Notamacropus eugenii: one gene and its partners. The protein of the gene in region 2 interacts with the protein of the main gene of each other region in a biochemical or structural test. Links are inferred from orthologs where the notes say so. Each region holds a gene or a part of one and is shown on either strand. Other genes may lie near its edges. The genes, in order: EGLN3, HIF1A and EGLN2.

Region 1 (7,535 bases), on a different chromosome or scaffold from region 2:
TTTGAGAATGACATAAGGGCCTAGACCACTAAGAATTTCAGCAACTTGCTCAAAGTCACGAGGCTGGTATATGACAGAGACAAGACTTGTACCCACATCTTCCTGACTCATGGGCCAGCTCTCTATCCCTGGATGCCTCCTCTAGGCTATTTATGTAATGTAAATTTAATATATTTTATTTTAATATAATTTTATTTTATATTTTGAATATTTTATTTTTATTTTAATATAAAATTTGATTCTTACAACTCTGAAAACAGTGATATAGATTTTTATCAACCCCAGTTTACAAATGAGGAAACTGAGGACTAGAGATTCAATGACATTATATTCTATATTCTGGGATCAATTCAAAGTCGGGTCTTCCCAACTCCATAGTATCCTTAATAGCTGGCATTTACGTAATGTTTTAAGGTTTGCAGAGCATTTTACAAGTATTTCCATCATAACCACCTCAGAGTTAGGTGCTATCATTATTATTATTTCCTTTTTACAAATAAATAAACTGAGACAGACAGAGGTTAAGTGACTTGCCCTGGGCCATATAGCTCCTAAGTATATGAGTCCTGATTTTAACTCAGGTCCTACAGACTCCACCGTCCAGCCTTCTATCTTCTCAGTGTACCTTTCAAGACAACATTTTTTCTTGTTAGATTCAAATAGGAAAGAAAACATCACCGATGCCTATTTTATATAGATATTATTGGAAAACAATTATGCAAGTTAGGTGTGTTTTCCCCCCTTTCAATTCTAGTCAGCAACGTAAAGAAGGAAAAAGAATGTACAATCCATTGAACTGAACTGTTTAATCTATAGATAACTGAAATTTTACTTGTTTGGTTAAGCCCATCCCTAGGGTATAGTTCACCTGGCTATTAAGATACAACCATAATAACAACAAAGCAGGAGCTGGGGCATAATTACACTGACACATATCATGCCAAGGCAAACATTTTTCTAGCTCAAACTCTCCTGCCTCGCAGCACGTCTTGCAAGTAATGGGCAGTCGATAAATATTTGCTGATTAACTCATTATGGAAGAGTTTTCTTTTCATTTTCTATCTCTCTTTCTGTCTTTCCTTTCTTCTTTGCCTTTCTTGCTTTATTTTTAAAATTTTATTTTTAAATTATCTAGCATTTATTTTGTCTCTTTTCCATCCCCCCCCCCCCCAACCAACGAAAGACAAAAAGTAACAAGTAAAACAAAAACCCTAACCAAATGCCCCAAAATATGTTTCCATCTGCACCCGGAGTACAACACCCCTGTCTGGGTAACTTGCCTGGGAAATCTTGGTTGGTCAATGAATTAATGAATCTGTGTTTTCTAAGAGAAAATATGATTTAATAATAGTTCCTATTTGTACGGTGCTCTAAGGTTTGCAAAGCACCTTCCACATATTATCTCATCTGATCCTTATAAAAACCCTGACAGGTGGGTGCTATTATTGTCCTCAACTGGACAGTTGTTGAGGACAGTTTAAGTGACTTGCCCAGGGCTACTAAGTATTTAAGGCTGATTTGGGAACAGGTCAAGCCCCTGGGTCCACCGGGTCATCTACTTGATTCGGTTTTTGAAATCCTGGTAGGCATTACGCCGGGATTTAATATAGATGGAGAACTTGGTAGAAGAGCTTTCAGATTAAACTGCTCAAGCTTATGAAAATTTATGGAAAAACAAACAAAAGAGCGAATCAGTAGCATGCAGACTTGACATCCCCCTGTCAAACAGTACAGACATGCAATCGGTCAGCCCTACTCCTAAACCTGAAAAAAAGAAAATAATAAAGGAACAAAAGAGAAAATGAAAACAACGCCAGCAAGTTCTAAGAGAACCCATCTGTCCCGCCCGTTTATAAAGGCGCGAGGGGGGCGGTGTCCTCTAGCACGCTGACCTCTGGGCATTTGCAGCCAGGGGCGGGCCTCCTGATGTCCGGGGGTGTGAGTGTTGCCCAGTTAGGGGCGGGACCTGGTGACGTCCTGCGGAGTTTGGGTGGCCCGGTAAGGGGCGGGGCGGGGCGGGGACGGATACTCTGCCCCGGAGTCCTTGTCTAGTCCGCAGTCACTTTGGCTGGCGCTCCAAAAAGGGGTTCCCTCTAAGTCTCCACGCTGGGCCAGTCCAGTCCTGGGTCGATGAGCCCCGCGCAAACTCCTGCGGAGCTCGGACGGTGCTTTTGTTAAGTGGACTCCACTCAAAGAGTGGTGCGCTGGGTGCCCCCCGGAGCTGCCGGTGCGGCGCCGTCTCCCCCACCCCCGATCTCGAGGGGCAGGAGCCCTGGCACCCCGGGGGCCTCAAGCTGGGTGTCTGTCTCCCAAAGTCGCTCACACGCCTCCTCCAGTCACCCAGGCTGGGGCCCCCTCGGCTCCCCTCCGCTCGGAAGTCACGATGCCCCTGGGACACATCATGCACCTGGATCTGGAGAAGATCGCCCTAGAATACATCGTGCCCTGCCTGCATGACATCGGCTTCTGCTACCTGGACAATTTCCTGGGCGAAGTGGTAGGTGACTGCGTCCTGGAGCGCGTGAAGCAGCTGCACTGTAACGGGGACCTGCAGGACGGCCAGCTGGCTGGACCCCGCTCCGGGATCTCCAAGAGGCACTTGCGGGGAGACCAGATAACCTGGATCGGGGGCAACGAAGAAGGCTGCGAAGCCATCAGCTTCCTCCTGTCCCTGATCGACCGGCTGGTTTTGTACTGTGGAAGCCGCCTGGGCAAATACTATGTCAAAGAAAGGTCCAAGGTAAGGGCGCTGTTACTTTCAATTGGGGACTGGGAAGAGCGGCGCCCTGACCGATCGCTAAGTTAAGCACACCACTCACGTTGGCAAGAAACTTTCCCCCAAAATGTTTATACAGAGAAGACTAGTTTGGGTTAAAACAAAAATAATACAAAAAAAATAGTGGTTTGGGTTAAAGACTTGGACCGAGGCTACTTTAGCGGACACTTAATTTTAAATGAATTAGCCCCACGGATAGTGTGGTACAGTGGAGTGAACGTTGGATTTAGGAACCTAATTCCGGCTTCTGCCACTTAGCATTTGTGCGTTCTTGGACAAGTCATTTTCCCTCCTCCGAGCCTCAATTTCCTTAACGTGTAAAATGAAGGTGTTTTTCCTAGATGTCCTCTGAGGTCTTTTCCTGTTCTAAAGTTGTGATCAGCAGCACTGTCTTTGAAGGAACTTCTTTCATTGCTGGTAAAAAACTAATCAACCTTGGTTTCTGTATAGTTTGGTGATAATTTGATACTGAGAACCAGTGGACTAGACAGATGAAGTTAGCATTGGACACGTCTTAAAGATTTCGGAATAGGTGTAGCTTTGTTCTTGTTTAGTCATCCCGTAGTCCCCCCCATACCTGTTGCTCTGGTGTGTCTCCAAATACACTGTCTTTGGGGACCCATAGTTGTGGACGGCAGCTTGTGCAAGGTGTAAGCTCTTTCCCTCTCTCTGTTTCGGTCGGTGCGTTTGGCCCTTTGGCCCCAGGTAGGGTTGATCTAATTTGTTGCTTGTGAAGATCTTTCCTTGCTACCTTCAGCCAGGCCCTTCTGTAGCAGTAAATAGTTGGTGAGAGAGTAGTCTAGGACTTTTGGAAGGAAAAGAGGTTTCAGTTCACCTATCCCTCAAGAGACTCTTCTTGAGGGTAATTTCTTAGATGTGCTTACGTTGTATATTGGCAGCATCTCTGCAAAGGTGGGAAAGTTACCTTAACTGTAGTATCTGTGCTATTTGTCTACAGACTTGGAGGGACTTGCAGACAATCTGTCTTCAGGTGTTTATTGGTTCAGCCCAGGTTGTTTCCGGTAACAGCTCCAAGTGACTCTACATTTTCTTTTATCCTAAGGGAGGCTGAGGGGTAGATGAGCATAAGTACCTTTTAAAAACCTGAGGGGCACAGAGGAAAGCAAGCTGGCCATCAGGTACCAGAAGAGTCATCTATGTATTATTTGAGGGGGAAATAAAGTATTTTTCACAGTTCAAGACTGATTCTGTGATAAAACAAACCACTGCCATCCCTTGGCCCATGATCTGAGATGAGTTCTGTTAAGACAAAAAATAAAGGACAAATAGCTAAGATGTAGAATTGAGTCCTCGGAGAAGTGAAGGAGGGAGGAAGAAAGAGACAAGTATTAATTAATTAATGAAGTGTCCTGTGCTTTATAAATATTTGGTTGTGAGGAGGTTTGGAATAGAAAATTTGGAGGAAATTAGAAGATTTCTCTAAGAGGAGTTCAAATTATTTAAAGACAAAACCAAACCCCTAAACATCTGCTTTTAACTTGGGGAAAATTGCATTACCTTCACAGAATTCTTGAAGTCTGCCAAGAGGCATTTATTAAACGCTCAGGAAGTCATTTTAATTAATTAAGATACTAGACTTTCTGGTCCAATTTTGAAGGACACTCAAGATGCCTAAAGTTCTTTCAAAGCAAGATTATACAAAGTTTGAAATAAATGCTTCTTGTGGACACTGAAAAAAATAGCTTTGAGGTAGTAAAGAGTAAGTAATCACTAAGGAGATCCATCATTCCATTTAAACCTCTCCAAGTTTTAGCTTCTTTATGAGCAGCAGCCTGACCCACCTATAGGGGATTGTGGATCATCCCTACTCAGTCCTTCCTTTTACAGAGAGGATAAAGTGACTTGCCTGAGTTCTCATAGTTACCATTTAAGTCAACAAGCATTAATTGTGTCTGCTATGTACCAGGCGCTATGCTAAGGGAGGAGGGGGTGGTGTATGTATACTAATCCCCCCCACCCCCCACCTCCCTCAAAAAAGGAACCCAACCCAGGTCCTGAATCAAATCAAGTATCCTTTCCACTGGACCACTCTGTTTTTGCAAGGCCTGTCTTTCAACCCTAAAAGTTTAAGGGTAAAATTTTAATGGAAAGAATCTGAAACCCATCCAGGGCAAGAAAATTTGGTCCCATCAGGATTTGATGGTTTTATCCCATATTGGTGTGATATCCTTCCACGATCGGAATAACTTAATTAAATGTAACTCATCCAAAATGTAAGTGGATTTTAAAGTTTTTACTGGGTGGATCCCTCAAATACTTGTCTTATTTGTCTTTTCACCCTCTCCTAGGGCCCTCCCTCCATGCTTTCACACTCACCCACTCCACCCCACTCAATGTTTCACAACTTAGTGTTGGTAGATTTTTGTTGAATGAATGCTTTTTGAAATTGAAGCAAGGAAATTTGATACTGATGTCCATTCTAACAAGTGGAATTTAGGAGGTTTCTCACAAGGCAGCCTACCTTTGTCCAGAATATAGATTCTCATCTGCTGTCCTAATATGTAGCTCTTCATTCTCCAAATGTATGATTAATAGAAAAAGTAAGGCAAAATATTCTCGAACCAATTAGAATGTGTGTATATTCACATCTCTAGTGAAAAAAGCTCTATCAGAAGAAGAGAAGACATAGGGTCATATAAAGAAACCTCTTTAGCGCTCTTGGATTAGAGAGACAGAGGTGGTATCCAGTTCCTCATTTAGTAAATTTTGGTAGAAAGGAAACCATTTTCTTTCGAGGAATTTTCTTAACTTTGCCTGTTTGTCTTCCTTTCCTGTCCTTTACTTATTTCCCTCCATCTCCAGTATGGAGAGTACTCTATCCTAGGCATGGAAACCTAATCAAACATAAGGCAGAATCTGCTAAATCTATTTTAGGTTTCCTACTGTTCTTAAAGCTGAGGTATGTATTTATTTGTTTGAACATATGAATAATACTTTTCTTACTTTTAATGAGTCTTGCGAAGGAGCAAAAGCCATCAAATTGTAAGTTTGTCTAAACGCCAGGCTGAAAAGGAGAAATATTGGTCAGAGTTCAGTTGCTGAAGAAATGAGGGGCTGCTGAGATTTTAAGAGAACCCTTCATTAAGTTACCTGGGCTGAATTGACCTTGGCAGTTGAACTTGTTGGAAACATATCTTCAGGTTCTTAATTAAGGAGTCTTTGGGGAAGTCTCTTGGTTGTAATTTCTTTGCCATGTGCAGCAGCATGGCGCCCCCTAACTTCAAGTGTGGTCCTTGCTTAGAGACCCTCCCTGTATTCGTTTACAAGACTGCTCCCTCCTTTTTCAGGAATGTAGGAAATCTCCAAGACAAATATTGGTCACTACTTTCTCCTTTTACTTGACTGCATAAATCTTACGGAACAGGGATTTATTTTCCACTGGGATTGTAATTTATAGAACCAGGAGTTCTCTTGCTCAGCAATAGTCAACAGCTAGTTAGATTTTTTACAGTAACTCACCAGGTAAAAATGTCACTAACTCACAAGAATGGATATATACATATACATATACATATATATTTATACACACAGACACACACGTATACATACATGTGTGTATACATACAAACATTCATATATATGTTCTTATGTATATGTGTTATGTATTTTCATATATATTTTTGAACCGTAAGCCCAATTCTAATTCACATTTCACTGATTGCCAAGCCTTTCCCTTAAATGACTGTAGAAGCTGATTCTGAGTTCTTGGAAAACTCAAAGGCTTTAGTGTTTCCCATTACTATTTTTAGAAAATCCACTTATTAACTGAGTTGATCACAAATAGCCTTAACTGGAGTAGCCTCAGACCGTCATGTGTTTGAGGACATCAAGGAAGTAGCTTCCCTACCCCAAAGGGATTCTTGTGTGACCCAGCCAAACAATCCATGGGCAAACCTCACCATTTAGCCTTGAATTATTCTTGGAGAACAATTAAATGGATAAGAAGTTTATATAAAATTAAAAAATAACACCACCACCCACCAACCCGGGTGTAGATTTTTGTGGGTTTTGTTTCTGTGCTGATGGATGGTTTTTCCTATCTAGCCTTGACTTCTTACTTCTTCACTGGCCACAGAGAAATAGATGAAATAGAGAAATAGAAATAGATAGAATGGGATAGGGGCAAGGGAGATAGCTGCTTGCTTTCATTCTTTGGATCTGTAAATGTAAGCTCTCCTCGATGTTGATAAGACCATCTTGTCACCTAAACCTCTGTTTCTTAACCTGGATAAACAATCCAGTTCACACATAAAATGCCATTAATATAGAGGCTTTAAAGAAAAAGGTTTTGGTTAAAAACTTTTGTACTTTTTTCAGATAGTATGTGTTACATTCTTATGCAAATACATCTGTGGGGCTTCCAGTTCATATTAAATTTTCTCAAGAAAGTGCTTTGATCCATCCGAACTCTGAAAAAGTCATGGGATTGGCTTCATATTTGGGACCTCTCAGTTCCAGTTGTAATGGACAGAGTAGCTGGGACAGAAGTAATTTTGAAAAAACACTTCCTTTAGAGAAAACCTAGAGGTTATTTTATTATTTTTTACTTATGCGAACTTGATCAAGTCTCTGTTTTCTGTAAATTGGGTTGAACTGTACTAGATGAATAATCTTAGATTACCTTAAATGCCATAGATAAAAGACTTTTATAAGGTAATGCTCTGATATTAATGGCTACATCTTGTGGTTAAATATTGAGATCTTTTAATTAATAGATATAAACCTTCCACGGTTAGCA
Region 2 (7,535 bases):
TGAAAAAGAATAGGACTGAAACATGATTTCAAAGTAAAAAGAGATCACAAAATGTCAGAACTGGATAGGCCCTTACAGGATTCTGTATTCCAACATGTTGGCCGATAAGGAAACTGAAGCTGAAACAGAGGCAAGTGGCTACTAATGTAGGAGTAGGACACAGTTCTTCCAGTCCAATTTTCTTTCCATCACATTGATGAGGTATGTTTTCTACCTTTTTTTTTAACCATTAAAGCACCATAATTAATATACTAAGTAGCATCCATGATACATTAGCAAAGGAGAATTAGTGACTAAGGCAATGTTATGTTGATTTTTGGTTTAGTGGAACTATGCCGGTTCCATGGGAGGGCACATAAAAAGTGCTTAAGAATGCTTTTGGGTTGAACGATTAGAGTAAGACTTTATAGCTTTCCGGCTTCTATGTGAATCGAACTGTAAACAATTAAACCTGAAACCAGAGGGAAAGAGGGTGGGGGAATCTTGCCCAATCTCATAACTCAACTAAGATTCTCCCTTAATGGAGGCATGAAACAAACCAAAAAATAAATATTTTTACGGTACCAAACAACCATAGTTAATTCTTCCTTCTTGCAACATTCAAGTTCCTTATCATTTTCCCTGTGTTAAAGTAGAATGAAAACTTACATAAAGCAGTTTTTACATACATAAAAAGTAAGAATATCTTGTCCATTCTTAGTGCAACTTTCTACTGTTTTCTTTTGCGATTTTGCCTAAAGTTTTTGTTTGTTTGTTTTTGCCTTTATATTGTAACGAAAACCTAGATCCTAACATTTGGGGTTAAGGAGACAATTCCACCGTATTCCATGCCAAGTATAGGGTACTAGTACTAGCATTTTGTGGATTAGCAAAAGGGACTAAGCCTATAGCTGAAGGAAACCGTAATAATGCATTAAAAAACAACAGGGTAAATAGCCCTCAGTCGTGGGACATTACAAGGCTGCTTTTCAGGAAGGGTGCGTGGAGAAAGGGACAAGAAGCCACACGATACAGGATGGAGGAATGTTGCCCCTGAAAATGCAACGTCGGCCTAGTACCCGACGCCTGAGATCCTTTTCAGCAGCCCGGGCTAGCGAAATCCCGCCCCTAGCAGCTAGGAAAAAGAAAAGACAACGGCCGGCGAGGCTGGGTCCCGCAGCCACCCCAGGTCTTTTTCTCCCTCCTCTTCCCACCAGTCCCCCAGCTGCATCACAAGCCAAGCAGGACATCTCAGCTGTGCCTCCAGCTGACCACCAGCCGATTGGCCTAGGACGGCGAGGGCTGGGGTGGGGATAGGCCGGCTCGGGAGCTTCCCATTGGTGCTTGGGGAACCGGCCTCCCCCTCAGGTGAGGCGGGTATGCGCCTGCGCGTTCCTCGGGATTCCCCCCGCCCCCTTTTTCCTTCCTTCTTTTTACTCTTCCCCCCACCCACTCCTCCTTACTGGCGCGCGCGCGCGCTCGCGGCTTTGCTCCCTGCCCACTCTCCCCCCCCCCTCAGCCTCCGGTCCTCCCTCAGCCTCCGCCTCCCGAGCCCTCAGAGCTGCCTCTGTGGAAAGAGGAGGGAAGCCGAGAATCGGCGCTGCTGCGCGCCGGGCCAGGCCGCGCTGACAGAAACCGGAGACAGAGAGAGCTAGACTCGAACCCCTAGGATTGTCCGGACTCTCCCGTCCTCCGGAACGTTCTGGGTTCCTTTTTCCTGGAGGGAGGTGGTGGTGGTGGGGCCGGGGACCGCGTGTGTCCTTCCCCTTTTTAACCGCCGCCTCGGGATCGCCTCTCTACCCTCTCCATCCCCCTTCGTTCTCTCCCCCCTGTGCCTCGTGTGTGAGAAGCCGGAGCTTAAACCGGAGCGGACCGGGCCGAGGAAGCGCCTGGTGGCGGGGGCGCTTAGCCATGGAGGGCGCCGAGGGTGCGAACGACAAGAAAAAGTAAGTAAAGGGGGATCTCGCCGCCTGGCGCCCCTAAAGCCCACCACGCGCCGCCGGGTGGGGGGGGGGCGGAGGCGGGGAAGGAGAGATGTAGATGGAGGAGTGCAGGGGGGAGGGGGCCGCTTCTATTCATTTCTCCCTACCCCCCCTTCCTCACTCGGCCTCCCCCCCTTACTGTCCACGTCGCCATCTTGGTGTGGGGGGTTGGAGAGCCATTGAAAGTGGGAGTCCGGGACGACTTCGCCCCTGGTCCCCTCCCCCGGCAGCCACCGCGCGGGCGCGCGCGCACTTCCCTCCTCCCGATCGCCCCCTCCCCTTGCGACCCCAGCCTGGAAATCCAGCCTTGGAAAATCAAGCTGCTTTGGCTCCCTCCGGGTCAGCACGCTCTGCCCCCGGACGAGGCTCCCTCCCTCCCTCCTTCCTCCGTTTACTCTCCCTCGATTCTATTGAAAACCCCTCCGGGGGAGGGGAGCTGCAGTTTGACCCGGCTGAGCCCTGTAATTCCCTCCCGGGCCTCAGGTTCTGCACCCCGTGGTAATGTGGTGTCCGTGTTCTGTGATTGTGTCCTGCCGGGCCGTGAGTCAGGCAGCGAATTGCGATCGTGTTGTTGTTCAATCTGGAGGCCCCCTCCCCAAGCGATCAATTCTCTTCTCAGCTTTGTGTTTTGTCAGATTGGGGGTGCTCGGCTGGCACTTATGAAGCGCGACGTGCCAAGGGAAGAGTGAGACGCTAGCGGCATTTACGGAGAACACCCAAAATTGTCCTTTTGTATTGGTAGCCAGTGCCAAGGGAGAGTCTAGGTGTAGCAGATAGATTTGACTTCCTGAAGTACGTTAAGGGAGATTGAGTGGATAGGTAAACGTCCGAAGTGACCAAAGCGCGACGCAAATACAGCAGAAGCTGGCAAGGTCTGAGAATTGTTGGCTTTGCCCATTTTCTGGCCCGGCTCTCGTTGTGTTAAAATCTTTAAGAAAATGTCAGAAGGAAGTAGCTGTTTTCATGGAACTTCTTTAAAGGTGTAGGTAGGAAACATTATGAACTTTAAGAAGAGTCAAAGAGTTTTAAAATACACATATTTAAGGCCTTGGAATGATTTTGAACCCAGGTACGTTAACTCCAAAATGTAATTTCCTAGTTGAAGAAATTTTGTCTTGTGTCGTGTGTGGATTCTAGAAGGAAACTTTGTAAAACATTGAAATTATGTTGGTGTTCCGTTTTGGTAAACTGGTCTTTATTTAATGATTAGCCCTTCCAGTCTCTATCTGAAAACGATATGTTTGTTTCATATTATCATGTTTTTTGGAAATGTTATCTTGGCCCATTTGAAGTAGAAACTTTTGAGGAAGGTAAATAAGGTGTAGATAAAATTATTTAACATTTTTACAGTGTAAAAAAGTTAATTAAAAAGTTAGTTTCCTTCTCTGTAAAATGAGGGGACTGGACTAGGTAGCTTCTAACGTTCCTGTCCAGCTCTAATCTAGGTCTATGACCCTATGAGAAATTAACACAGAGGCTGTTATAGAAGTTAGCAGGAATGAATTGCTATTAATTTCATAGAAATAATTATAAAGCTTTTGCCCGAATTGGATTGTACATCTCAGCTTAGAGAATAACTTGATATTCTGATTGTAATTTACATTAATTTTGTACGTGAAGGTGCATTAAGCAAAGTTACACACTTCCCCTTTGCAAGTAATAGTATACTCCATTACACTTTTGTTCCAACAACCAGTATTAATATTATGACATCATGAATGGTATATGGGTCCACTCATTTGAACTGGGATTCTTATGACTGTTAATGACTTTTTTTTGCCTTTGTGTCCTCCATCCCTAGAAAAGTGACTTCCATATATTAGGGACTAAAAAAAATATTGTTGAATGTAGAAGTTTCTTTTTGAAAGCTAGTAATTTTTGCATATTGAGGTACTTGAGCAAGAACCATTCTGTATTTGTATTGCAAGTTAAATGAAGAATCCAGTCATATAAAATATAACTATGCATGGGACGTTATTGCTACTCCCTCAGTCTGGGTTTTGTGCTACTCTTTTTTAACATTCTTAGCATAGCTTGGTCTAATAGACTTGGAGAAGATCTTAAGAAGTCAACTTGTTTAGTCCTCTCTCTTAGGCAGATTACCACATCCAGACTTTCTAAAGTACATGTCCAGTGTCATAAATATCTTTGTGGATAGGAAGTCCATAATGTTCTAGAACAAGTTTTCTTAATCTGGACTCCCTTGGTTCTGTGCATACATTTCAGTGGGTCTGTAAACTTTCATAGGAGGAAATCATTTATTTTCAGTAACCATTGTTTTCCTCTGTAAAGTATGCATTTTATTTCATGAATTTAAAAATATTCTGAGAAAGGGTTCATAAAGTTCGTCTGCTAAAGGGATCCATGGCACACCTTTGTTGCTTCTCATAAGTCAAGATTCTTAATGTTTCTTGAAATAAAATGCTTTATTGCTGCATTTTAAACCTGTTTCTTCTTGTCCTTCATTAGAAATGGAAAGTTTTAGTATAGTTTTATATACTTCAGTTTGCTGTCACCCCTAAGAGTTTGCTATAGTTTCAACTTTTTTAACTTCCTTAAAGGTCCTTATGAATGCTTTTATTCTCTGAATTTGATACAGCATCATCACCTGAAAAATATGAAATTCAAAACAAGACTCAGAACCCTAAAAAGAACTTACCAAGTATGTAATGGAACAGAATTGATGCTTTTTCTATTTTTCTACTAATAATGCATTCTTGAATTGTTAGTTTTTTAACAGTAGTATGGTATACACTAGGGTTTAGTTTGTTTCTCTCAGACTGGGTCTTTTTCTTCCAATAGTTGGCTTTTTGGTCCATCAGCAATGCATTTATTAAGCCTCACCATGTTCCAGCTATTATGCTAAGTGCTGAGGATACAAAGACAAAAGTGAAATAGCCCCTGCCCTTGAAGAGCTTACCTTTTTATAAAGAAGACAACAAACACATTTTTAAAAGTATTTGTATAATATATACAAAATGCATACAAAGTAGTTTGGGAGGAAAATTCACTAGTTAATAGCAAAATACCTGACATTTGTACCAGAATAAATAAAAATATCATAGAATCTGGATTCAAATCCCAGCCTTGGGCAAGTCACTTAACCTTTTAAAATATTTTAATTTCACCAAAGTTATGGAATAGACGAAATATAAAGCAATCTTTGCTAAATATAGTCATTTCTCTCCACACACAAAATGGTGTGCTTAGCAGTTGAATCAAATTAAATTGGTTGACTCATTCAGTAACAATAAACCTCCCAATTTTTTACATCTTTAAAAAAATTAGTGCAACATATTATTTTTCTTTAGTCATTTACTTGTTTTACAGGACCTGGAATTGAGTTCATAAGATTTTGACACATATTCTTTAAATTTTCATCATGGAAGTGCACTTAACATACTAGATATATTAAGCATAACTTTGATAAACAGATAGCCTATAGAGTTTCATTGAAATTTAAGTTAGACAAGTTTCAGGGCCACTGACACATACATATTTCCATCTCTTGGACAGATTTCTTAATCTTTTGTGACATGGTGCACTATTGTGTTGTAGTGTTTGTTCATCTCCATTTGAGAATTTCTGTAATCCTAGAATAATTCAGTTTAACAACATATATCAAGAGGCTCATCATTATCTTCTCTTTGTAAGTAAAAAACCTCAAACATTTTTTGAGTGCATGTTTTACAGTATGATGAAGATGCCCAGATCTTCCAGGTACATTTGGATTTGTCTTGGTATAGACTTGAATGAAAATTTGAGTTTCATCAGTAAAAATTACCTTTTCCCATTTTTTAGTACTCTTGTCTTTATATTGCCTTACACATGACAGTTCCTTTAGTAATGGTTAATAGCTAATTTTTACTAGTCTTTTACTTCTAACTTTAGAAAGCTTAGACAGCACTTAAGAGAAATCAACAACTTAGCCTGCCAGGTCCTTCTGAACATATTTTGTAAGGATTAATGAGACTTTCACAGCAATAATATCTAATAGTCATTAAGTGTGCTCTTTAATACCTATAACTTTTGCACATTTCTCTGGAGAAATAACTATTTTTAAAGATCACAGAATTTAAGACAACAAAATAGATCAATGAAACGTATGTTTGTCATGAAATTCAGCACTGAACTCACAAGAGTACTAACTAAAGATGGGAAAACCAGCTCAGTCTGGTTTTATCTAGTTAAAGTCAGACTTTATGAGTCAGATTACTCTCAGTAGAAAGACACAGGCATAACTATTGTTATTAAAAAATACCATCATTGATATTAATGCAGTGTTTTCTCTAGTGTTTAAAAACCTTCCACAATCTGGATCTGGTTATTACCTTGTGCTCTACACTTTTTGTATTCTAGTCATGTAAAATGGAAGTCTCAAACTCTGGGTTATCACATACCTTTTTGGTTTTTCACAGTCTCCATACCTTGTGCCTGCAGTGTTTTCTCATCTTCAGTTTTCAGAATCCCTTCTCTTTAGTGCTCAGTTTAGGCACCACCACTTCCTATGTAGCCTTTCAATTATTATCATCTCACAACTTGAAAGCTGAATTGTAAAAATTCTTCCAAGGTTGGAGGAGATGACATCTAGAGAATTTTAAAGTGATTGATACTTACTGGTACTGTCTGAAAAGTATGACTTTTAAATCTTCATTATTCACCTCATTTTATGGGTTAATCTGCAGAAAAATTCAGAGATAAATCTGCCACAGCTCTTTCTCTTCTGTTTACATTATTATATTGCTTCCAACAGATTAAGATTGCCTTTCAAATCCTTATTCTCCAAGCATGTTGATTCTCATTCATTTTATTTTAAACATACTGTCATTCTGAATGAAGGTCCTTTAGTTCCCCCAACTGTTAGGCCCAAGACTTAACTTTAAATAAGGCCCTGTAAAGTAACACTGCTCAAAGGACTGTACCATGGAAGTCATTATTTTATTCTAAGCATAATATGATAAACTAACCTGGTATTTGAATGTGACTTAGTAGAAACTTAGGAAACACTCTGTTGATCACTGGACCTGGCTCCTGGAGAATAGGAATTTTTTTCCATTTTTTTTTTTGTTTGTTTGTTTGCTCTAATTTGCCCTACATAAGCACATTGCTTGATATGTAGTAGTCAGTCAAACAAGTATTAACTGCCTACTATGTTCTAGGTACTATGCTAAGCATTAGGGATACAAAGAAAGATAAGAAGACAGTCAGTCCCTACTTTTGAGGAGCTTACAGTCTAGTGGGAGAGACAACATGCAAACAACTGTATACAAACAAAATATAGACAGAATAAATTGTAGAAAATCAACAGAGGGAAAGGCACTAGTCAGGAAATCAGGAAATGTTTCTGGGGCTTTAATTGAGACTTGATAAGAAGCCAGGGAACACAGTAAATAGAAATGAGGGAGGAGAGAGTTCCAAACTTGGGGGACAATAAATAGAAATACCCAGAGTTAGTAGATGATGCGCTGGTGTGGGAAACAAGGAGGTCAGTATCACTGAATTGCAGAGTATGCTGTGGGAGAAGATGGGGTGAGAAGATTGGAAAGATAGGAAGGGGCCAGGCCAGGAGGGTTT
Region 3 (7,535 bases), on a different chromosome or scaffold from region 2:
GTGTTCTAGGATATCCTAAGATGTAATGTTCTGTTTATCCTGCTCCATGGGTTCTGTCCACTTGGAACGTTGTATCCTGGGCTGCCCCAAGAGCTCCATTGACTTCATGATAAACTGTTCTAGACTGCCCAAGGGTTCTTCTGTCTTGGGGTAACATTTAGTATTGAGAGGTTGTTGCAGGGCAGGGTCTATTCCATCATAGTACTCTGTGGTCTAAGTGCCCCATGTGTTCTGTCCCTCTCTGATACTCAGTGTTCTAGAGGTTAAGGGATGGCAGAGTATGCCTCTCCCACTCTGACCCTCTGGAGTCAAATGTTTGCTCGCTTCCTACAGAGCTGATGTTCCTGGAGACCAGTGCCCTAACTGGCGAGAATGTAGAGGAAGCTTTTCTCAAGTGTGCCCGAACCATCCTGAACAAGATTGACTCGGGTGAGGTCCCATGGGCAGCTGGGGATGTGGGTGTGGGTGTGGGGGACTGGGGAGGCCCACAGGGCCCTCTTTATCTCCATTCTGTCTTTGTGCATCTCTCTGTTGCTGTCAGAATCAGCCTCCCAGTGGACCTGTCTCTCTGGGTCACATCCCATACCTGTCTTCCTCTCCCTTGTCTCTTTTCCCCGCTAGGTGAACTGGACCCAGAGAGAATGGGTTCGGGAATCCAGTATGGCGATGCCTCCTTGCGCCAACTTCGCCAGCCCCGGGGTACTCAGGCCCAGAGCAGACAGCAGTGTGGCTGCTGAGTCTCCTCTCTCCCTTGTGGCTTTGAGGGTTGGACATCTGCCCCCATTCCGGGATGCCAGAGAAGCTGTGGATCAGGGACCCGGGACTATCTGCGTCCAACACTTTTTCCCCATTCTGTTCCCTTTTTTTGCCTGGTTTGACTCCGTCTCCCATTCTGCCCTAGTTTCTCTGAGAGAGCATTAAGCACAGAGTGGGCTCCCTCTATACTTCAGGGGGGACTGGGAGGGACCCTTGTCTGAGCCATTGGGGGCAGAGCTAGGGGGAATGCCCCCCCATCTACAACCCTGAGCCTTGGGGTGGCTATACCTGGCTTGTCACCAACCTTATGACCTTTTCCATTATCCAAACTCTGGGACCAGAGGCGTGAGCCTCCGCCAGTCTCTTCCCTCCCAGAACCCCCAGGACCCTGCTGACCCTTGTAAATGGTATTTATTAGACTGGGGGGGCATTGAGGTGGGGAGGGGACCATCATCAAGTTTGTTTCCACATACACATGCACACATATATATATTGATATATAAAATGATGGTTTTTTTTTCCAACTCTGTCTCAGTTTCCTTAGTCATGGGGTCAGTGAAATTCAGAAAAAGGGGTGGGAACTCTAGAATGATAATTTTGGGATTTAGGGAGGCTGGCATGAGAACTACACATAGGTGAATACACAGGGCCCGAGGTCATGCCTGGGGTGGGGTGGTCTGGCCTGGGTGATGTCCGAGGACTGTGGAGTGGGGGCCAAGGTCAGGGGTGAGGCTTGGAAGAGAGGAGCCTGGGCAAGGTCCCAGGCCCAGGTTGGGGCTAGGAAAGGAGGGATGGGGTTGGGTGGATGGGTGGGGTTCAGAGGTTAGGTTAGGGACTTGAGGTAGAGAGGGGAGAGGTCACAGGAGCCCAGAGGGTGGAAAGGAGGTTGGGCCTGTAGAGTTGGAGGAGCAGAATGGAGATTGGGATAAAGGGTATGCGGGAATCTTGGGGGTGGGGGGAAGGATTCCCCACTACCTCCCCAGACACATGACAAATACCTTGTCTTGTTTTAGGAGAGGCCCAACAGCTCAGGAAAGAAGAATTCCCTGTCTCGATGGGGGATGGGGAAGAGAGGGGCATATGGTGTCCTTAGTCTCCTCCCTGGGGTTCCCCAAGGCCTGGGTCTCCCACATCTCAGCCCCAACTGCCGCTGCATCCAGGCCTGGGCAGTTCCTGGAAGTCTCCCAGTCCCCTTCCACCTGTTCTGGGGGGTGGGGAGTGGGGAGGGAATGTGGAATGTGTGCCTCCCTCCTGGCCCCTCTGCTGCCTGGGTCACGTACCCCACGTCTCTGTCACTGTCCCTGTGGGATAGCCTTGCCAAGGAAGGGGGTGAGGGCACAGGAGGGGGTATTTATAGAGTGTCCTGCAAATCCCCCTTCCAGGGATAGCAGGCTGACATCCCGCTCACCACACCCCGCTCCGAGGTTGCCTGCCTCCCCTTTCCCTGTAGATGCGATCTTAGAAGGACTGAGCTGTTTCCACTTGAGTTCCCTGAGGACAGGGACCCTCATTTTGCCTTTCTTGGGTCTTGGGCCTGAGTGTGGTGGCTGCCGCCTAGTAGGCACTTAATAGATACTTGAGGACTTCTTGACCGAGGTGACTATTCCCTCGGACCCTGGGGTCCTGCTCCCCCCACCCCCACGTCTTCTGGGAGGTGTCCTCCTTGGGAAGGGGCAGCGGGGGCTGGAGGCCGGGAGTGGGGAGGAAGGACCCGCAGCCTTGGCCAGCCCAGGCCCTGGGATCTAAAAAGGGGAGCGGGGCCTGAAGACTCGAGGGAGAGAGGAATGAACAAGAGGGGACGCTGAAGGAGGCGCACCCCGGCAGGAGGGGTCGCTGGACTGGAAGGGGCAGATGTGACCTATCTGCACTACCTCAGTTTCCTCATGTGTAAAATTAAGGGCTTTTGGACGATCTGACTTCTGGGCTCCTTCCAGCTCGAAATCTGGGACCCCGTGAAGAGGACATCGGAAGAAACATGGGGGACAAGGGGGCAAGGATGACCTGTAGGACTAGGGGAAGGGAGAGCGAGAAGACCCCGCGGGAGAGGACACTGGGGGCTCACTGGGGGGCAGGGAGAGGCCGAGGGAGACGTGAGGAGGGCTCTTGGGGGCCAGGGGAGAAGGGTGACCGAGAAACAGGGTGGGGAGTCCCTGGGGGAGGGGCCAGGGATGGAGGTGGGGTGGGGGAGGGGTCCCCAGCTCTGTCCTCCCCTCCCCCGGCCTGCGGCTCCTGCGCACGCGCGCGCCCGCTCCGCCCTCTCCTCCCCTCCCCCGCCGGCTCCTCACGGTCACGTGCAGGGGCGGGGCCCCGGGGCGGGGTCTGGGGGCGGCCGGGGGCGGGGGATGGCGCGCGGCGCTGCGCGGGGCGGCTGGCACAGGCGGCGGCGCCGGGGCCGGAGGAAAATCCCCGGTGAGTGGGGGGAGGAGGGCGTCCGGGGCGGGGGGCGGCCGCGCGGAGGGGGGCTGCGGGAGGGGTCCTCGGGACCGGGCGGGGCAGCCGTTGGGGGAGGCGAGGGGCGCGCGCCGCTGCCCCCCAGCTCCCCGCCCCCAACCGCTGCCGTGTCGGCTCAGCCCCGCGGGGAGGGGGCCCGGGGCCTGGGGGGGCTCCCCTGGTCCGCCCCCTCCCCCTCCGCGTCCTCCTCCCCTCCCCCACCCCAGACCCCTTCCCTCCTCGCCCCCCGCAGACTCCCCTCTCCCCTCCTCCTCCTCCCCCACCTGCCCCCCAGGCCCTCTCTCCTCTGGCCTCTTCCCTCACCTCCTACAGCCCCCATCTTGGCCCTGAAGTCCCGGACTCCCCAGGATCCCTCCTGTCCCCCTCCCCAGTCCTGGACTGTTCATGCTCCCCCTTCCCAACCCTCAGGCCCTCCCTCCCGACTTCCTGTTCCTGGGTCCCTTCTCCCTTCCCCAGCCTCTTCCTCCTCAAGCCCCTACCCCCTGCCCCCCATACTGCACCCACTTCCTCTCCTCTTGACCCCCAGGCTGCTTGCCCTCTCCTGCCATTCCAAGAGCCCCTATGTCCATGTCCTTGGCAGGCCTGGGTCCTTCCCTTTTCTGCCCCTCAGTCCCCAGTTCCTTCCATCCCTCTTCTGGGGGGGCCACTTGGTCCTCCACTTTTCTTTCCCAGATTGCCCAGCCCTACTTCCATCCCTGGAGCCCTCTTGTGCTGTGCCCGCTGTCTCCCCCCTCCTCCTTCCCTTTTGGCATTCTTGGATGCCCTCTCGGCGGGTCCCTCCCCCTCCCTTTCTACCTCTGTGTCCCCATTCTTATCTGGCCCAGGTCCTGCTTACTCTCCCCCGTCCTGGGCTTGGGTCCCGTTTTGCTCCCAACCCTCTTCCTCCTCTTTGGAGGATCCCCCATCATCTCCCTCTGCTGCCCTCCTTGAGCATTCCCTCAGCTCCCTTTCCTCTTCCTGACTGGGGTCTTCCTTCTCTACCCTTCTCCATCCCCTCCATCCTGGGCCTCTCAGTGCTCCTCCCTTACTCCCCATCCAGTACCACTTCCTCTTCACCCTGACTTTGCTAAGGCCTTTTCCCCCTCTTCTCCCTTTCTGTCCTGGGATCCCCTTCCACCATCAGCCCCCACTTTCCTCATTGGACCTTGAGTTCCCCCCACCTCCTTCTGCCTTGCCCTGGTTTTCCCTCCTGCAGCTGCCCTCTTACACCTCCCACTATCTTTCTCTCTTTCTAGCCGCTGTTGGTCATCTGCTTGACCCATTGCTGCCTCACAAAGGCCAAGGACAACGGGGGATCATGTCCCAGGTTCCTGGGCTATGAGAAGAGCTGCCTGCTTAGTCCCATTCAGTCCTGTGCCAGGCTCTGCCACTGTTATCACCAGCTGCAGTGAGAGGAGGAGGAGGCTGGCACCATGGGCCCGGGCAGTGTCCTCCGTGCCTGGGGGATGAAAACGCTGCCATGGACAGCCCATGCCAGTCCGACCTCCTGAGCAGAAATCTCCCTCAGCTGCCCACTGTGGACACCCCTGGGCACAGCCTTGCCAGGATGGGCTTGGAGAGCTATGTGTCCTGTCCTTCGCAGCCCTCCTTCCACCTCTCTGGTCCTTGCGAGGCTTTGGCTGGTCCCAGCAGCAGTGGGGGTGGCCCTCTGCCCCCAGGAGCCGGCATCCCCTCAGCTGCAGCCAGCCCCATGCCCGAGGGGCGCAGTGGGCAGGGAGGAGGGGAACTTCGACCCCTGCAGAGCGAGGGAGCTGCTGTGCTGATCACCAAGGAGTGCCCGCTGCTTGCCGCCCGGGGAGCCCAGCCCGAAGCCCCCAAGCGGAAGCAGGCTGAGAGCGGTGGTGACTCTCCGCCCAGCAAGCGGCGCTGGGTGGAAGAGGGCAGTGAGACTCCGGTGCAGAGGGAGGCTGTGGTCTCTGCCGCCGAGCGGCTGGCTGTGGACTACATCATACCTTGCATGCGGTGCTATGGCATTTGCGTGAAGGATGGCTTCCTCGGGGCAGCCTTGGGTGGCCGAGTGTTGGCGGAGGTGGAGGCATTGAACCGAGATGGGCGCTTTCGGGATGGACAGCTTGTGAGTCAGCGGGCTATCCCCTCACGTAGCATCCGGGGAGACCAGATTGCCTGGGTGGAGGGTCGTGAGCCTGGCTGTGAGAGCATCGGGGCTCTGATGGCCCACGTGGACGAGGTGATCCTTCATTGTGCTGGTCGCCTGGGCAGCTACATCATCAATGGCCGGACCAAGGTGAGGCCTGGGCCCATCGGCTGGCCACCACTCCATGGGAGCCTGCAGGGTCTCAGTTTCCTCCAAACCCCAATGCTCTGGGGCTCTTGTCTATTTCTGTGGCTACCTTGGGGGATTGGTGGGCACCAGGCAGATTCTGCCCTGGCTGAGCCAGCTGGGCACCATTGCTCTGGTGGGTTTGTGATTAGTGTTTCGAGAGAGCACAGAACAGAGAGTGAGTGCGGTGTGTGTGTGTGTGTGTGTGTGTGTGTGTGTGTGTGCGCGCGCGCGTGTGTGTGTGTGCAAGTGTGCGTGCACATGTGTGCAAATGGGTGTCTGGCCCTCACTGACTCCCCTTAGATGTCTCCCCTTCCCCTCTCTGCCTCTGTTTCCCCTCTCCCTCTTTCCTCCCCATTCATTCTCCTTCTTTCTTGTTTCTTTATCTTTCTTCCCCTAACCCTGTATTCTTCCTCCTCCTTCCTTCTTCTCCCTCCTTCTCCCCCTCTCCTCTCTGTGTCTTTCTCTCCCCCTCCCTTTCTCCTTCCTTCCCTCCAGGTCTTGTCCCTCTGTAACTCTCCCTGGACTGGGTTGGGATTATGTAACCGGGAGGGAGCCTGGCCCTGTCTCTTGGGAGGGCCTGGCCCACTGGAGCCCCCCACCCCTACCTGGGCTGGGCTCTTGCAGGCTCCTCTCTCTTCCTGGTCCCTCCCTTGGCCTGGCCCCAGCGGGTGGGTGGGTCCTGGCTGAACCCACCCTCTGCCCCCTGGAGCCAGCCCAGAGCTGTGCATCCTCAGTCATTCGCTCCCAGTCTCTGGGCCTCCTCTGTCAGGTGGGGCCTCAGTGGCCCTCATTTGGAGTCTGTGCCAGTCATGACTCGGGAAGTGTCAGGTGACCTTGGGCCAATTCTTTACCCTCTTGGGACTCAGTTTCCTTGTCTGTCCAATGATTGGGCTAGACTTAGGTTCTTTTGGGGCCCAGCCTGGGAAGGATAGATACTCATGGGGGTGTGTGTGAGGGGCTTCTCTTGACTTAGGTATAAGAATGCATCCTGTGGGAATGGGGGAGGGGAGAGGACAGGATAGGATGGGCCACTGGCCCCTCCCAGGCTTTCCCCCCCACCCCAGGCTCCCAGGAGACAGCATCTGTGGGCTTTTCCTGGCTTGAAAGGGCAGTAGCTGTGGGAGAGACTGAGGGTAGGGCTCGGGGTGTCCCTCCAGTTCTCAAGAGGCAGGAGAGTGACCTGGTATGGCTAGCAGGGAGGGCATTGAAGGGACAGATGCTGGTTGGCCTGGCCTGGGCTTCTTTCTGTGGGTGTCCTGCCTGTCTCCTCCCTCTCCCTGACCCCCCATATGCATGTCCTTTTGACCTGGTGACTCAGTGCCCCTGAGTCCTCTGCTCGCTGGTGGGACTGGGCATTGGGCCTTGGGGCTGCCAGTGGAAGATGCAACTGGGCCAGAGGGCCCTAGGTTCCTTGGATACTCTCTTAAGAGCTGTGAGTGGGTGGGGCCTGCCATCATTGGCTTTGGCCCTATTCTCTGACGCATTTAGGGGATCAGCCCTGGGAGGCTCGTAACTCTTTCCTTTCTGGACCTTTGGCTTCCAACCAGCCTAGGGCTGGGGGTGACCTGGAGGAGGGACCTTCTCCGTTTGTGCCCAGCACCCTGTCTAAGCTGCTGGGGTCAGTAGCAGGAAGTAGAGATTTCCCCAAAGCCCAAAGCCAGCTCTGGAGCTGGCCCTTTCTAAGGTTGGCCTGCTGCAGGCAGGTGCCAGCTGGCATGGGACAGGCAGGGAAGTGGTAGAGCTGGCTGCCTGTGGGCACTTTACACTTTAGTCAGGGGACTTATCCACAGCAGAGCTGGGGCAGCCAGGAGTAAGCCGCCTCCCAGCAAGGGGGACCTTCCCAGGCCATCCCAGTCACCTCCTTATGTGGCCCCAGAAGAAACTGAGGCCTTGAGGCCTAGTGGAATTAGGCGAGGGTTATCTGACCATGTTCCCTTGTGGGGAGGGAGAGGGCCTGGTCCAAAAAGCACCAGACCCAACTTGGAGTTCTGACTCTGCTGTTGATTATCAGCCTCTATGGTCTTTAGCAATCCCCTTTCTCTGG

Evidence for each region.
Region 1: the proteins of HIF1A (region 2) and EGLN3 form a complex in vitro, tested with the Homo sapiens proteins (5 studies listed by BioGRID, with this or other methods). The link is inferred for Notamacropus eugenii from reciprocal best matches to the Homo sapiens genes HIF1A and EGLN3.
Region 3: the proteins of HIF1A (region 2) and EGLN2 form a complex in vitro, tested with the Homo sapiens proteins (3 studies listed by BioGRID, with this or other methods). The link is inferred for Notamacropus eugenii from reciprocal best matches to the Homo sapiens genes HIF1A and EGLN2.

What each region holds. Positions count from the first base shown.
Region 1 is NC_092878.1:51,262,257-51,269,791, reverse strand, and holds the start of EGLN3 (prolyl hydroxylase EGLN3), read left to right. Parts: upstream 1-2,028; 5' UTR 2,029-2,383; coding exon 2,384-2,740; intron 2,741-7,535. UniProt on the Homo sapiens protein: Prolyl hydroxylase that mediates hydroxylation of proline residues in target proteins, such as PKM, TELO2, ATF4 and HIF1A. Target proteins are preferentially recognized via a LXXLAP motif.
Region 2 is NC_092872.1:305,217,892-305,225,426, forward strand, and holds the start of HIF1A (hypoxia-inducible factor 1-alpha), read left to right. Parts: upstream 1-2,786; 5' UTR 2,787-2,959; coding exon 2,960-3,030; intron 3,031-7,535.
Region 3 is NC_092876.1:30,871,620-30,879,154, reverse strand, and holds the start of EGLN2 (prolyl hydroxylase EGLN2), read left to right. Parts: upstream 1-3,063; 5' UTR 3,064-3,165; intron 3,166-4,442; 5' UTR 4,443-4,666; coding exon 4,667-5,452; intron 5,453-7,535. Other genes in the region: RAB4B (ras-related protein Rab-4B), read left to right, coding at 334-429, 622-737. UniProt on the Homo sapiens protein: Prolyl hydroxylase that mediates hydroxylation of proline residues in target proteins, such as ATF4, IKBKB, CEP192 and HIF1A. Target proteins are preferentially recognized via a LXXLAP motif.